Arabidopsis thaliana: one gene and its partner. The protein of the gene in region 1 interacts with the protein of each later gene in a pairwise test. Each region holds a gene or a part of one and is shown on either strand. Other genes may lie near its edges.

The links. Proteins that work in one complex are often made in the same cells at the same time.
Region 2: the proteins of AGL94 (region 1) and NAC012 interact in a two-hybrid assay, tested with the Arabidopsis thaliana proteins (one large-scale study listed by BioGRID).

The regions. Positions count from the first base shown.
Region 1 is NC_003070.9:26,144,482-26,149,488, reverse strand, and holds AGL94 (AGAMOUS-like 94), read left to right. Parts: upstream 1-1,737; 5' UTR 1,738-2,159; intron 2,160-2,328; 5' UTR 2,329-2,329; coding exon 2,330-2,514; intron 2,515-2,600; coding exon 2,601-2,657; intron 2,658-2,760; coding exon 2,761-2,779; intron 2,780-2,826; exon of another isoform or gene 2,827-2,870; coding exon 2,871-2,938; intron 2,939-3,054; coding exon 3,055-3,070; intron 3,071-3,147; coding exon 3,148-3,209; intron 3,210-3,295; coding exon 3,296-3,392; intron 3,393-3,473; coding exon 3,474-3,530; intron 3,531-3,611; coding exon 3,612-4,154; 3' UTR 4,155-4,174; coding exon of another isoform or gene 4,175-4,183; 3' UTR 4,184-4,488; downstream 4,489-5,007. Other genes in the region: AT1G69550 (disease resistance protein (TIR-NBS-LRR class)), read left to right, coding at 1-653.
Region 2 is NC_003070.9:11,864,723-11,868,849, forward strand, and holds NAC012 (NAC domain containing protein 12), read right to left. Parts: upstream 2,433-4,127; 5' UTR 2,229-2,432; coding exon 2,042-2,228; intron 1,947-2,041; coding exon 1,681-1,946; intron 1,245-1,680; coding exon 621-1,244; 3' UTR 507-620; downstream 1-506. UniProt on the Arabidopsis thaliana protein: Transcriptional activator of genes involved in biosynthesis of secondary walls. Together with NST1, required for the secondary cell wall thickening and lignification of sclerenchymatous fibers and secondary xylem vessels (tracheary elements).

The DNA of each region.
Region 1 (5,007 bases):
TAGTAGAGCTTCCTTCATCTATTGGGAATCTCATTAATCTCAAGAAATTGGATCTCAACAAATGCACGAAGCTGGTATCACTCCCGCAGCTTCCAGATTCCTTATCAGTTTTAGTTGCAGAATCATGTGAGTCCTTGGAGACACTTGCTTGCTCCTTTCCGAATCCCCAAGTTTGGCTCAAATTTATTGACTGCTGGAAACTGAATGAAAAAGGGAGAGATATCATCGTCCAGACATCGACAAGTAACTACACGATGTTACCAGGTAGAGAAGTGCCTGCGTTTTTCACTTACCGAGCTACCACTGGAGGTTCTCTGGCAGTGAAGTTGAATGAGAGGCATTGTCGTACATCTTGTAGATTTAAAGCTTGCATCTTGCTGGTTAGAAAGGGTGACAAAATTGACTGTGAGGAATGGGGGTCCGTATATCTTACCGTCCTAGAGAAACAGAGTGGTCGCAAGTATAGTTTAGAAAGCCCAACTCTATATCCACTTTTAACTGAGCATCTGTACACATTCGAAATCGAAGCAAAAGGTGTGAAATCCGTAGAGCTTGTCATTAAGTTCCAATTCGGCAGGAAAAAATGGGAGATAGGTGAATGCGGGATACGCCCACTCTTGGAGGAGGACACTCACGTCGAAAGTTCTATATAATGACGTGATTGTATTGTCTATTTCCATATACGGTATATATGTTTGTAACACAGTTATTGGTGATGGTAAAAGAGAAGTTATTGGTGAAGGATGCTGAGGAAACGTGAAGCTATTATTACCAATATGGATACTGAAAAGAGATTCATTGGAGACAATGCTCCATTCAACTGGAGCTGTAGAGGTTGTTCTTGCGAAAACATGTGAAGGGATTCTGTAAGGAGGTTTATTAGGGCTCGAGGTCTTTGTTGTTGTGTTGTTAGTGGATCTTTCCATGACTTGTGTCGGAAGATATTGCTCTACATTGTTTTAGAATCTGATCAGGTCTTGGTTCGCGGCTTCTATGGAAGAATAAGAAGAGGAAGAAGAAGAAGAAAGTCTTGAGATTGGATCTTGCTGGTTAGAAAGGGTGACAAAATTGACTGTGAGAACTGGGGGTACGTATATCTTACCATCGTAGAGAAACAGAGTGGTCGCAAGTATAGTTTAAAAAGCCCAACTCTATATCCACTTTTAACAGAGCCTCTGTACACATTCGAAGTTGAAGCAAGAGGTGTGGAATCCATAGAGCTTTTGTTTGAGTTCGAATTCAACTTAAATGACGACTGGGAGATAGGTGAATACGGGATACGCCCACTCTTGGAAGAGGACGCTCACGTCGAAGGTTCTATATAATACGTGATTTTATTGTCTATGTCCATATACTGTATTTATGTTTTGCAACCGTTGGAGTTCAAATCGAAATCATTAAACATGTCTCTACAGTGAGAGATCAACAAAAGTTTAAGTCGAATTCAGTTTCTTGGTTGACAAATACAGGCTTATTAATCCCCCACCAACATAGAAATCCAGTTTCTAATCACACTTTCTAAAAGTATGAACCAATTTTTTTCTTTTTTAAAAATCTCTTTTACCAAATATCTGAAATCATCAAAACATACTAATAAGCATGTACTATACAAAACATAGATGGTTCAAGAAAAAACACACGTGAAATATAAAACAAAAGAAACAACGGTTTATATAAAACTAATCAACACGTGTAGACCGTATGATTCTCAACCGTAAGGTGCTTAGTTCGCCGTTACGGCACCATCCTCATCAGATCTAAGTGCCACATTCCTAGGAAACGAAACCCGATGAGCTTGACACGTGAAACGTCGGTTAGTAGCTTCTAGTAACTGATTTACTTTGGTGGTTAGCCCAAATGAGTGGTCCAATAAAAAAAGAAAGCGGGTAAGTCGTTGTTTCTGTTCTGTGAAGTAACAGATGAAAATTAATGGAAACGATCCCAAATTCCCTAGTCTCTAGCTTCCAACCCTAATTTCCGATTTTTTTGGTCTCCCAATCAATACCTATTTCTTCTCTCTCCTTCACAATCTCTCTTCGTTTCCAAAAGCTCTGTTTTTTTTTGTTGTCCTTTTCTCTCTTTTTTTCTTTCTTCCTCATAAGGAAAGTTTTTATGTTCAGCATCTGATTCATGGAAAGTTTTGTTTTGTCTTAAATTAGGTAAGTTTTCTCTTCCTTCTTGGGGATTTTATTGACAAAAGTATGAATCTTTGAAGTGGCCAAGTGGGTATCGTTTGCTATTCCATTGATTCTTGGTGTTGCTCATTGTTAGTTTCAAAATGTGTGTTGTATTCTCTTTGTTCATATGAGTGGGTCATAAGTTATGCAGGATGGGTAGAGTGAAGCTAAAGATAAAGAAACTACAGAACATGAATGGACGTCAATGTACGTATACGAAAAGGAGACATGGGATTATGAAAAAGGCTAAGGAGTTATCGATCTTATGCGACATAGATGTTGTGCTTCTCATGTTTTCTCCCATGGGAAAGGCTTCAATTTGCATAGGCAAACACAGGTCTGATCACACTTTTTTTTTAATACCAAAGTATCTTTCACATTGTTCTGTTTAGTTTGATGTTCTGTTTTTTGGGTTTTGTTTAGCATTGGAGAAGTCATTGCTAAGTTTGCTCAACTCTCTCCTCAAGAAAGAGCAAAGAGGTTTCTTCTCTTCACTTTTACACATTTCTAGGATCTAGAATCTTTCTGCGTTGACATTACACTGAACATATAACTTCTTCGATTTTTGTCTACGTTTGAACAGGAAGTTGGAAAACCTTGAAGTAAGTAGTGGTTCTTGGCTCTGTTTAGTCTCTCTTCTCTTCTCATCTCCTAAACTATCATTAATACTATTTCTTTTTCATAATATCTTAGGCCTTGAGGAAAACTTTCATGAAAGCTAACCACGATATAGATATATCAAAGTTTCTAGACAGAATTAGGTGTGTTATATTATATCAAGAATATGAGATTCTTTCTGAACTCTTTCTCTGTTTGTTCTTGTTTAGTGTTGTTGTGTATTACTACTAATGTGACTCGTTTTTGTTTTCTTTTACAGTACACCAACAGTTGAGGTATGTACAACTACTATGATGTTAATAAATGATTCTGAAGTATCTTCTAATTCGTTTCGCGACACGGGAATTTTCAGGTGCTTAGCGAAAAAATCAGGTTTCTGCAAACACAATTATCAGATATACACACACGACTAAGGTGCAAATATCTTCTATCTACTTCAGTTAAATCTTCCTTTTGGTTTTGGTATTCTAATTTGTGAGTTACATGGTTTTTTGAGATAGCTACTGGACCGATGTAGATAATATCGACAGCGTAGATGTTTTGCAGCAACTAGAACATTCACTAAGACAATCTCTGGCTCAAATCTATGGTCGTAAGGTATGATCTTCCTCCCAAATAATCAAATAATGAGTTAAGGTCTCATTTAACAAAACTTATGCATCTTATTACGACTTATAGGCGAGCATGCCGCAACGTCAGCAGCAACAACTTATGTCCTCACAATGCAAAAACCAGGTAAGGATTCATCACTCTGGACATTATAAAGATGTTTTGAGATATGTATAAACATAGAGCCAAAACATTGTGTTTATGCAGTTGCAGACTGAAATAGATATAGATTTCGGAATGGAGATGGAGCAACAACTTGAGAATTTCTCATGGGTTCGTACCGATGAAAACATGAATGTTCCTATAGAAGAAGAAGACCCTAATCTGCAGCTTCATCACATGTACAAGGACATAACGTGTTCTGCAAGTTCAGCTCTTGGAAATTACTCAGGACTCTTTAGTAAAAGCTCAGATATCTTACAAAAACTAGAAACCGGTAGCATTCCCGGGACATCGGCTGATCCGAACCAACAATTCAGCAATCTCAGTTTCTTAAATGATCAAAAGCTTAAGCAACTAGCTGAGTGGAATCTATTAGGCAGTCCTGCGGATTACTACGTTAGCCAGATCTTGGAAGCTTCTTATAAGCCTCAGATTGGAGGAAAAAACAACGGCGCTTCTTCTGAAACATTACCTTATGTTGCGGTCTTCGATGATCCTCTATATTTTTGGGTAAATAACGGTTTGTTCATCATTCATTTGTTTTCAAAACTCTGTTATTACTGGTCTTGTTTTGCTGACTGTTTCTGAACATATCTAATATGCAACAGCCAAACTGACAAGTAGCTCCGGAAAAAAACATAAGACGCATTGATCCGAAAACGCGCCTTGTCTTTGTATCAACGAGTCATAAATGCCGAAGAAGCTAGGATTGATAGGTTACATGGACACATACTACACTAGATGATACTATTTTAAGTTACTTGTAACTCGAGAGTCATCTCCAAAAAGCGTAAGCAAAGTATTGTTTCTCGGTTATATACTATTTATAATACAAGTCTAAGCTGTGAACGAGAGATGTAAATAAATGCGTTTACCTCTGCTTACGCATCTATAAAATAACATAATATGAGTTGGCTAGAAAAATTTTGATTTGCAGTTTCCAAATCCTTAACTACACTGCAACCACCACATCAAGAGTTTATTATAATTTGAAGAAAAGTAATATTTAAGATGAACTGATGAAGTATTCATTTTGTCCCCATCAAATGATAGAAGAGTAGTAAACAGAGAAAACTGAATAGTCATTTCGAAAGTGTTCATGCAATTTCCCGATAATAGTTTGGAGTTGTTGAATCTCATAAAGGAAGAGTGCTCAGTGAATGCTTAAAATGAGAGAATGGGCTAAATAAGGCCCGTTGAGAAAATGGACGATGTGAAATATGTTGGTTAGCGTTTCGAGTCTGCGGGGACCCATAGGTACTCATGTGGGTAGTTAGAACAAAATATTGTCAGAAAAGCACATGGCTTCGGTTATTCTGTATCACTCGTGATTACTGTTACTACTACGTGCACGTCATTCTTCTTTTTTGTTTTCTTTTTGTCACAACATGCTATTTGCAGTATAGTATAGTTAATTTCTTATTATTATTCTGATGGCTGA
Region 2 (4,127 bases), about 14 Mb from region 1:
GATTTGAAATTTATAGAAAAAATAATATTACTATAAATTAACATATACATCATAGTTCTGTCATTAACTCATTATTAATTTAGAAAGTTTTTTATAAAATACGGATTCACCATGTGCGTTTGAACCAAAGTACAAATTTACCGAATATTAACTCTCACTATGGCCTATGGGCTTTATGATTCGCAAATACAAAAGATTTAAGCGATAAACATATATTCTCGTGGTTGTACAAATATGGCAATCTTCGTATCATAATTTGGATTCAAATTCAATAGTGGGCATGTAAGAAATGTAGAATGAAAGATGAGGGATGTGAAAAGTTCTACCATTTAGCTTTTTTTTTTTTTGGACATCTTTTAGCTTTAATAGTCAAAGATAAAGAACTAAATGTAATGACTTCTAAAATAGCTTAGTAAGCAATTGAAAGAGTCGTTATTCAAGTTTTGTATATAATATCATTCTTTAACTTCGTAAATTTTATGATTATAAATATTATAAAAAAATTACCCTCCACCATTAACAAATGTTAAACCCCAAAATCAAGACGTACTATCAATAGAACATGAGACATTTTTTAACAAACTTTATTTTATATTTTGTGTATGTGTATGTATAGATAATCATACAGATAAATGAAGAAGTGGGTCTAAAGACGAAGAAGACTCAGTGAAACTACTCCAAAGATCAACATTATCATCATTATTCCAATGAAGATCCCATCGCTGCATCATAGTATCACCATTTTCTTCTTCTTCATCAAAACTCTTACGATGACACGGATTATGATGACCATTGTTCAATTGCCAAGCTACGAGCCGGTCAAGACTAGCCCAGTTGCTGCAAACCGGTCTTTCGGTTATCTTCTCTTGAACGGGAGAGAAATCGAGTTTGCTTGGAGTCAGGAAACTTTGGTCGACCGGGCTCTCGGATTTAGGTGTCTCAAGACTTGGGAGTTGCATGAATAAGACATCATCTTGATGTTGAGTCGTTGTTTGGCTCTCGGGCATGCAAATGTTAGAACCGGTACGGTCCATGTAGAGAAGAACATGGTCTAAACCGGTAACGTTTTGAGTGTTGTGAAAGGTGGGCCCCTTCTCTTCCTCCGTGTCATCAGGTAAAGAAGATAGAGTGATTTTAGGACAATCGTCAATCTTTTGATAGTTCTTCTTCCTGAACACTCGACATACCACCCAACCTTCTTCGTTATAGCTCATTGGATCTTCTGTAACAACATCAGCATAGCCCTGATAATGGAACACAAATCGATCTTATGAAATGCAATAAGAGATGATTAAATCTTGATGATGTAAAAATGCAACTTTTATTTTGAAACAAAAAAAAAAATCTTTTATGTTGGTTTTTCTTTTGGATATGCAACCATAACTAGTTAACTACGTATTGTTTGTAGAGCCGTGTTAAACTATTTTAAGCCTTGTGAAAAAATCTTTTTATATAAATGTATATATGATGTGTTAATTTCATAAGAAATTATCTTATTGTAACTCAGAGAATCATGTTCGATTACTTTAATTGCAGATGCTAAAAGAAGGCTCTAGTGCGTACTAAATGAACCAAAACCTTTTATAGCATGAAACGAATCTAGCTAATTCTTTGACTATAAGTTTGTAATTTGTTTATTCTAACCTAAACTGCAAATTGATGATTGCTATATATACTTACATTAGACATTGGAGTATCGTCGAGGCGATACTCATGCATGATCCAGTCGGATTTCTGACCGTGAGGAGCTCTTCCTTTGTAGAACACGAGTGTCTTCCTCAGTCCAATTCTCCGGACACAACTGCAGATGATTTTGTCACGTCCGGTAGCTTTCCAGAATCCAGCGACTGTTGCCCGGTTCGTCCTGGTCCCGGTTGGATACTTCTTGTCCTTGTGGCTGAAGAAGTACCAGTCGTTTTGTGGCGTTGAACCGATTCTACATTCCTCTGCATTTGCATACCAAAATGGTTCAAAAATAAAGAACAAAGAAATAGAGAGTTCGTAGAAATGAAAGAGTTTTTTTTCATATTTAGGGTTTAACCTTGAATATCCCAAGGCTCAAGCTTGTTTAGATCAACTTCACGAATGACATCAAGATCGATCTTTTGAGAGTTAACTTTCTTACGGAGATAGTAATGGAGAAGTTCTTCTTCGGTGGGATGGAATCTGAAACCTGGAGGCACTTTTGATTGTCCATTAATCGAAAGATTGACCTTATTATCAGCCATTAACGAAGATAGCAATATATTTTTGGGTTTTTGCTCTAGAAGAGTAGAGAAGTTGTATGATTACGAGTGGAAATGGTTACAACTTAAAAAAAAGAAAGCAAACGATGAGATAATTTATAATGGTGGTAGGACTCGACGAGACATAGCCCCCAAAAGGGGGAAATTGTTATTTAAACAAAGAAGTTCATGCATTAAAGTGTCTTTATGAAATTAGTATAATTTAGTAAACAGATGTTTCTATGTTTAAATCGAGTTTGATCATACGTAAGTTCTGACGTAAGACATATTTCTTTTGACGTGTAATGTCATGTCATGTGTAATGTATAAAACGGAAAAATACTAACGTAAATAAACGGGTTTAGTGGGGGATTAATCTTTGTGTTTTCTTGCAATTACTTATTGCAGAATTTGAATTCCATGTGTTTTGGTCTTTACTAATGTATGTAAATATAAAGTATAGATTTGTTTAGAAGAAAATAAATGTAAATTATTTTCTAATATAGCTACGTATATTAAAATAATTTTCATTAATATATCACACACTCGTTTCATGATCTACGTCATCTACATTCTACCATGTTAATTAGTTATCTATTTTTTCCCATGTTTTTGGTATGTTCATTCCTTTCGATGTATCCTAAAAATACATCAATTTTTTTTTTCTTTTCATAATCTATCATTTTTATTCTAATATCTGGTGTCACCTAATCAAGATAATGTGTGTAACATTAACGAAAGAACTTTCCATGATTTTTTTTCTTCTTTTTGGACGATTTTCGATGTTTAATTGTACTATATTTTTTGGTGTATTTAAGTGACAAAAACGTGATGAAAGTCAAAGAAATTGAAACAAGCGGAGAAGAGCAGGGGACATGCTTTTTGCACAAGTGTGACACTTCATCTTCATTTCATCATTTAATTCACCTCTGCCTTTAGTGCATGTCCAATTAGTGCATGTATATTTCAATCTAGCTATTCATCTTAAATCGGAAATAGTTATTCAGACCATCTTACATAGTAAGTTTGAGTATTCGATGGTTATGCGAATACCAAAAAAAAACTAAAATGAAGGGTAAGGCTATATAGCCATTAATATTTAACCGTAGATATTGAAATAGCTAAAAAGAATAGAGAGTATGAATGTGGGAGTGACAGACTGACATGTTGGAATATCCACTTCCAGCTAAAAAGGTGATAGTTGGATTATGTACACAAATAACTGAATTAATTAGCAATATTTGTTTATGAAAATATATGTATATATTCAACCATTTAACATACATATATGTGTATATATTTTAGTTATGGACTTAATTATTGGAATTAAGCATACTGATATAATATGATTTACAAATAGAGGCTGGAGCAATGACACTTTAATCGTTTTCTTATTATATAATATAAGTATATAACATGTACATAAAAGTTGTTACCCTACATGCACTGTACTTATCATTTGTCTGTTGATGGGATCTTTGTGTTTCAACATTAATAATGATGTTTTGTTTCTCTAAATTCTATGCTTAATCATGCTTTTGGGTACACAATTGATGGATTAACTAATACCACATAATGATTAACCACATTTGACCTCTCATTCTTTCACTTTTTCCATTTCTTTATTCTAGTTTTAATTGAGTTGAGTGTGAAGTTTCACCTCGTAATTTGTTCCCATACTAATATTTTGATATATCATTTCGTCATTCCCTTTTGTTAAATCATGTGTGTCCCATGCTCACATGTATGTTATTAACTGAAAACTAATTTCGAACAAAAATATCACAAAAATTAATTCACATTTGTCATTAAATCGAAATAAGGAGAAATAAATTAAATATTCAAGAGAATGTTAAGGCTTTTACACTAAAGTTGATATATATTGAAACAAGAATATTTAAT